Linked DNA regions of Nothobranchius furzeri. The protein of the gene in region 1 interacts with the protein of each later gene in a pairwise test. Links are inferred from orthologs where the notes say so. Each region holds a gene or a part of one and is shown on either strand. Other genes may lie near its edges.

The links.
Region 2: the proteins of prkra (region 1) and adarb1b interact in binary tests that used the Homo sapiens proteins (3 or more experiments, as listed by UniProt). The link is inferred for Nothobranchius furzeri from reciprocal best matches to the Homo sapiens genes PRKRA and ADARB1.

The regions. Positions count from the first base shown.
Region 1 is NC_091754.1:21,793,012-21,796,933, reverse strand, and holds the start of prkra (interferon-inducible double-stranded RNA-dependent protein kinase activator A homolog), read left to right. Parts: upstream 1-1,356; 5' UTR 1,357-1,508; coding exon 1,509-1,546; intron 1,547-1,923; coding exon 1,924-2,099; intron 2,100-2,380; coding exon 2,381-2,462; intron 2,463-2,752; coding exon 2,753-2,831; intron 2,832-3,071; coding exon 3,072-3,190; intron 3,191-3,282; coding exon 3,283-3,376; intron 3,377-3,451; coding exon 3,452-3,614; intron 3,615-3,738; coding exon 3,739-3,896; 3' UTR 3,897-3,922. Other genes in the region: casp10 (caspase-8), read left to right, coding at 1-109. UniProt on the Homo sapiens protein: Activates EIF2AK2/PKR in the absence of double-stranded RNA (dsRNA), leading to phosphorylation of EIF2S1/EFI2-alpha and inhibition of translation and induction of apoptosis.
Region 2 is NC_091754.1:2,531,295-2,535,116, forward strand, and holds part of adarb1b (double-stranded RNA-specific editase 1), read right to left. Parts: intron 2,910-3,822; coding exon 2,795-2,909; intron 1-2,794. UniProt on the Homo sapiens protein: Catalyzes the hydrolytic deamination of adenosine to inosine in double-stranded RNA (dsRNA) referred to as A-to-I RNA editing.

The DNA.
Region 1 (3,922 bases):
TGATAAGTGGGGTCAGACAAAGCAGATGCCTCAACCAGCCTTCTCACTCCGCAAAAGAGTGGTCTTCCCCATTCCCAAAACACCTCCTCCTGAGTTGAAAACCTTCTGATCTCCTGTTAATAGAATGTAATGATCCCTGGGAGGCCGATTCCACACACTGTTTACATCTTTAAATATTGGTGCGTGTCTGTGTGACCGTTATTTGTATGTTTATTGATGAGCTCTTGTAAAAGCCCAGGAGTCTGCCTAGTTATTTCCAAAGAAGCTGAGTGTGCCAAATTTCAGCGCCTTGACACGACATTCTAATTCTGAACATGTTTTATGTTTCATTTGAGTTGGTGTTAGGTCTTAGTTTTTGCTGCAGAATGGAGTCTGCCTAGTTATTTCCAAAGAAGCTGAGTGTGCCAAATTTCAGCGCCTTGACACGACATTCTAATTCTGAACATGTTTTATGTTTCATTTGAGTTGGTGTTAGGTCTTAGTTTTTGCTGCAGAATGATTTTATTTAAATTGTCCCTGATGTGGCACTTTATATAGCCAAAGCAATAAGCATTTAGACTGAAAATGAATTTATTACCAACTTTGTTTTCTACTGCTATCTAGGTGTAATCATGACAAATTCAAGCCTCTAAACAATCTTAACTGTTCAACAGTACTATATATATATATTTTTTTTAATTTCTTAAAGAATATATTTCTTATCAAATACATTAGTGGAAATGTTCTGGGTGCTTATGTCCAACAGTTATTGGATGAGAGGCAGAGTCTGACCTGGACAGAGTCTCAAAGGGACAAACTTCTACTCACATACACACCTAGGGTCTAATAGAATTGACAATTACTCAAACATGCATGTTTTTGCACATTAGGAGAAAGCCTGAGTTGGTGTGTATGGAGAGAAAATGCAAACTATGCAAGGTTCCAGCTGGGATTTGAACCCAGGATCTTTTGATGCATGGCAACAGTATTTATGGCATTTCCGTGTTCTTTGTCAAAATAGTAAAATGTGGCTATTTAGATTATTGTAATGGGAATAGAAAAAAATGTCAAATGAACAAAGTTGATGAAAAATAAACTTTGATACAAAGTATGCTTTGTCTAAGAGTAACCTGGAAAAAAACTGGTTTCCTATTATAATTAGTTTTCAAAACTGAAATAAAATTTGTGTCAATTTAGTCTTACTTAATTTTTGCATCACATAAATACATTTTATTTATTGTTTTGCTAAAACGTTCCCCCCACTAGTGAGATACAATTTTAGGTTTTTGATTGCAGTCCATTATCTCAACCAGCAGGGGGTGCACTAAATCGCTGCAACCACTTCCGCTGACCCGGATGTGAACACGACTTTTATTTCCCTTTTTCTCCAGGAAGGATGCAGCATTTTCTTCGTTTAGAAACATGAATATGTTTAATGTGAAGAAAACCTGAAGCATTAGATTATATTTATCTTTATTTTTTAAGTTTCCACCAGATAAATTCCTGCTGACCTCCGTAAATAATCCAACATGTCTCAACAGGGGTATCAGTCACCGGACGACAAAAGGTTTGTAGCGTTATTATTTACAAGTTAAATTCAAATCATTTACAGAAACTAGTTAATGATTTTATCTTCTTGTGTGCGTAAAAACAACAGTACGGTTTAAATGGACGCTTCAAACCATTACATTGAAAACCAACGGTTATACATACATTTATTTCTCCTATTTAACAGATTATAGATTGTTTTTGTGATGAAACAACAAAATAATTTTATATTAGAAGTAATCATGAAATACTCGCAATTAGCTACAGTTCCTATTTTTCCTAAACAGTTTGGTAGACACCATATAAAATTCATAAAATATAATTTGTTCAACCAAAATAACCCCAGATTAACCTGTAACAAAGGTTGCATGTTATTGTTTCTTTGTTAAATATAAGTTTGGATTCACAAGAAGCAGAATGGGCCAGCCTGGGGAAGACCCCGATCCAAATCCTGCATGAGTATGGGACTGCCAGTGGGAACGCTCCTGTGTACGAGATGGAGAAAGCTGAAGGAAGTGGCCACCAGCCCAGCTTCTTCTTCAGCGTGAGAGTTGCAGACATTCGGTGTACAGGTAGGTACTACCTAGGTACTTCCTAACTCAGGAGGTAATTTATTGTTGAGGTTTCATGCTGAAAATCCAGTTAGAACTCACTGATCACGTTACAGGTTAGTCTTTTGCTGCTGTAAACTCTTAAATGCATCATCAGCGTGTCCCGTTGCACTTCCAGCGTAGACCTGTGCAAAGAAAATTAAAAATAATTGCAAAAATTTTAAGCTAGAAATTAAAATCTGTGATAAGATTCACTTAATTTTGCTTTTGAAACAAATTTGTTTCGTTATATTTTATTTCAGGTCAAGGTCCTACTAAAAAGGCTGCTAAACACCAGGCTGCAAGTGCTGCGCTGAAGCTGTTGAACCTCGATTCTAAAAAATTGTGAGTGAAGTCAAAACTATTTGCTTACCATTAGTTCATTTACCTGGTTTTTACAGCGAAAACCAAAGAATGTACAGCTTCTATCGGGGTCTCATATGTGAATATTTTAATGCTGCTTAGGCTGCAATAGGAATTTTATTTGTAGTTAAATAATTTGACAGCATTATCTGTAAAGTTATAGAACAAATATATTCAGCAACGTCAGTCGTCAGAAGTTTTGCGTTTTGTTGTATTTATTTGATTTCTTATAACTGTTGAAGCTCTAATGTGTTTGACGTGACGCCCAATAGGACCTCTCCTGGGAAGTCCGACACCAACGGGGATGCAGCGGATGCAAACTACAATCCCAGCTCTGTGTCCCTTCTGCAGGTGTGATCACGTTACATCTTTTATATGTCACGTTTGCTTTTGTGAAAATGTAAAATTATTGTTTTATGTAATTTCTGACGGTCTGTGTTACAGAAGAGAGTACTTATCTTGCTGCAGCTGTTTTACAGTCATGTTTGTATTATTTAACCTTTAAGCAACTGATCAAGGGTGTCATTTTAGTTAATTATATATCATTTTTCTCTTCATATTAATTGACCTAAAATTAAAAATTATTATTAGGAGTTAACGATCCAGAGAGGATGGCGTCGGCCTGAATATGCAGTTCTAGCTGAGTCTGGTCCACCACATCAGAGGGAGTTCACTGTCGCTTGTAGATTTGACTCTCTTACAGAAAAAGGAAAGATTAAACATTTTTTTCAGTCATTTAAATAGTTTGTTTGTTTTGGTTCTGTTGTTTTAATCCTGTTTTATTTATTTATTTATTTTTAGGTGTTGGAAGTTCTAAAAAAGCAGCAAAAAGGGAGGCTGCAGAGAAAATTGTGGCAAAGCTTCAAAGTTTGTCAGGCGGTCCGGAGATCACCTGGGTGAGTCAGGTCTTTCATTTCACCTCCTAAAACATCCACAAGATGTTTGAAATGTTCTTGTTGCTGGTTTTTCAGACTCCTAAACCGAGTGTCCTCCTCGAGAATGTGAAAAAGTCCTCCGCAGAAAAGATTTCCCTACTGAGGAGAAGCCCGCTGAACATTCCCAACGCGGATTACATTCAGATGTTGTTGGATCTGTCCCACGAGCAGGGCTTCGAGGTCACATACTATGATATTGGTAAGAATTTAGTGCTTTGGTTGATGTTTGGAGGCTTCTTTTATCCCGAAAGGCAGAAAAACAGACTCAGGGGAGACCCTATGTCTGCCTGTAGAAAATCCCTGACTGTGTTCATGTCTGACAGATGAGCTGACTGTAAACGGACAGTACCAGTGCCTGGCAGAACTATCCACCGACCCCGTCACCATGTGTCACGGCACCGGCATCTCCTGCAGCAACGCTCACAATGTGGCGGCACATAGCGCGCTCCAGTACATCAAGATCGTAGCCTCCAGCAAATAGACACATCCGCCTGACCACAGCAATCA
Region 2 (3,822 bases), about 19 Mb from region 1:
CTGGTGTTTGATTATTTTTATCCGTATAAATAAATAAATAAATAAATAAATAAATAAATAAATAACTAGGAACCCTTTCAAGGGTTTTCATTAAACTTCACTTCTTTCATCCACTTTAAAGCCCAGCAGGAGAGATGCTTGGTAGAGAACATGCTAGTCCCCAAATCTCTCTGAATTTGACTGAAATAAAAAAAAGGTAATAAATAAATAAACAAATGAGATGTTTGAATGAAATATTAAAGGTGTAGTTCACTCATTTAAAGAACACACCTGCAGTGGTCTCTAGCAGAAGTGAATGCCTTGTAAGTCGTACTCTGGGGAAAAAAACACCGGTGCGCGTGTTTCAGGAACAAGAAATGACCCACATCAGAGCTGAGCTTCAGGCAACAGGTGTCACGGTCTTATTTCCTGATATTTAGACATCTCTCCTCTGATTGGCTAACAGCAACACAACTCTACCACTAACTCTGTAATGTTGATGTTTTATCACCACAAATAACACAAGAATGGAGGAGTGTGGTGGAGTTGCTAATGCTAACGGTTAGCTTCTACTAGCCGAGACGTTCTCTGCTGTTTCCTGGTTGTTAAAGCAACAACAGCCTTCCCCGTCGTGAGTCAAGATGGGTGAGTCCATGAATGTTAGTGACAGTTTGACGTAGATGTGTCAGGATCTTCTAATCCTAGAGTTTTTATCAGAAGCCATGCAGGAGACAGGTGTAGGAGACTATTGTAAATGTTCAGCCTGCATGAAAACCTAAGAGCAGGGCTATTTAATTCCAAGCCAGCACATTTTAGTGGTTTCTCTGGTCCAACACACTTGATTCTGTGGTTGAATCACCTTTGCAGCAGCTCATCAGGCTCTTCAGAAGCTTGTTAATCACCTACTAACTGAAATCAGGCGTGTTGAAGCCGGGTTAAGACCAAAACATGCTGGATACCGGCCCTCCAGGCCCGGAATTGAATAGCTCTGCCTGAGCGTGCCTGATTATTTTCAGAAATAATCAATAAAAATGTTTTTTTAGTGTTCCACACCTTTAAATATATTTACTTTCCATTATTATCAACTGAATGTCATCATATTATCTCCTTTGCTTTTCTCTTGAAGAGGAAGTTAAAGGGTTAACACATGTCCAGTGAGAAAACCATCATATTTGTATTGTTTACAAAAGACTAAAGTTAAAAAAGCTGGACGAGAATTTAAACTAAACACACGTGAAGCCACGACAGCTCAGACCTTTTAAACGGTACAGCTAACATCGTCCCCCCCCGTTGCTGTAGATGGTGTTCACCAGCTCCTGGCAGACATATTCATCTCCTCTGCTGCCAAATGCATCGCTGTGCTTTACAGCAAATGGCTCAAGCGTTTACTTAACTGTTTGTGCAGCTGAACAAAAAAAGTACACAGAGTTTTAGAGCCCAAAAAAACCCCTCTGTTCTGATTTAGACAACGAGGATCGGTGTGGAGAGAAAATAACACAATGTTCCAGTTAACAACGTTCCTACGTTAACCATAAAGACCTGTTTAGATAGAAGGAGCAGCCCGTTTGTGCAGAAACACGATGCAGATTCATCAGAGACTACATGAATCTCAGGTATGCAAAAATTAATTCATATATTTAATAAATATATAAAAGCAATAATGAAGGAAAAGCATTCTTGTGCATCAAACGTGTTACAGATTCATTTTAACCTGGTCACCTTAAAACTGCTCTTATTATTTCAAATGACTGTTTTATTTTTATTTTAGTTAGTTGTGTTGGTTTCAATAAAAATGCTTATTTTTCTGTTTATGTGTTTTTGTCTATGAGGCCTGGGTAACAGGAGGATGTAGCATATTAGAGAAATAGGGTTTAAATGCAAAAGGGAATAAAATGAGATCTAACAGAAAGACTGCGAACAGAGAACTGTTTCCACCCCGACCGTTTAAGATGCGACACACTCTGATGCTGATCGCTTTAATGTGCATTCATTAAAAAGGAGGATTTGTTTACATGGTGATAATTTTCTACTTTATTTTGTAAACATACCCTAACAGAGAGCTGATGATCTATCAAATAATTAGGTAAATTACCAGACGTGGGAACATGCTAACAAGTTAGCATTGGGCTGCTAACTGTTAATGATTGCCTCTTTTCTTTGTATTTTAGGCTTATGCTTTAACAAACAACAAAACTATAGTTAGAAATAACAAATAATCATGACAAAATTGGGATTTCAGAATAAAACAACTCATCATATGACACTTTAGCCACAGCTAATCCTATTTGTGGGCATCCATGGCTCAATAGAAAATAAATAAATAAAAATAAAAAACTGTATAAATTTGTAAATATTGGGATAAAAAAAGATTCTAAAACACAACAAAGTCAAAATGTGAGCACTATAAATATTCCTATGGACAAAAAACACTTATTTTTAAAGGCTTTTGCTTCTAAATCCTTAAACAAAAAATTTGAACTTACCGTATTTTCCGGACTATAAGTCGCACTTTTTTTTTCATAGTCTGGCTGGTCCTGCTACTTATATACCAAAGTGACTTAAATACCAAATTATGTATACCGCGCTGCTGCGGGCCGGCTCCGCTCCAGGTTTCTACTTCTACTACTGCTAAACTTTATTTATATAGCGCCTTCACATGGCCAAGGACCAAACAAAGCACTGCACAACAGAAATGAACATAAAGAAATAAAAACACATAAAACCATAAAAAAACCGACTTATACTCCAGAAAATACGGTACTAAAATCCCTTTTTGTAAACACAAAACCATCAACCCCCCCACCCCCGAAGTTACCTGTCGTCATGACAACTCCTGCCAGGACTTTTCGCCGCGCATGGGGGGATGTGAAGTTGTCTGTCAGCTCACTGAACTTATCCACCACCAGGCGAGAGACGGCATCAGCCAGAACCTACACACACACACACACACACACACACACACACACACACACACACACACACACACACACACACACACACACACACACACACACACACACACAGCAGGAAGACATGCACATAGCCACACAAACAAAAGCTTGTCTCAGATATGTCAGCTGACAAAGCATGTCTGATGTTATCCTCCCCCCGAGCGCTATCTACCTGTCGAGCGAGCATCCCAACAGCAACAAGTGAAACGGGGATGACCCGCTGAGGTTTACCTAACAGGGATGCTAGAGTCTGACATGACAGTTCTGGGTAGCATCTCCCTTCTGACAGTAAATCACGGCAACAACAAACAGATAAACCCAAACACCAGATGTGAAATAAGTTCTCATTGGATCTTCACAAAGTTTAAATCTCCGGCTGAACGTTTAAGGGAAACAAACAAAAACCAGGCTTCTGCTGTTCTTGGACCACTAATGGGATTGAAAACGACAGAAACCAAGAGAGACTTCTACTGAATTATCCCAAATGAAATAAACTAGTCGCACATTGCCTCTCACTCAAAGTCAGACCACAAAATAGTAACCACCTGGGCAGTGTTTAAAGTGTCCACTTCACTACGTCCTGCACTGTTTTCCCTATCTCATGGCAGGAGTTTCAAATTACACACTTCAAACAAACACCTTCACATCCGAACATTCCCTGGTCAAACAGGAACGCTTTTACAAATTCTCAAGATCAAGCGTGACCTCAGAGAGAACAAACATGGCTGAGGAGGAGCATGTGATGCGCTTTATTCACAGCGCTTCCTGATTGGCTACACGCCACATTCAACAAGCAACTCGCTCATTTGTCCTCGATATCAGACCAAGACGATGAAATATGTTGAGTTTCTCCGATTTGTAGTGGTCCTTCAGAGAAGAATAGAGTAAAAAT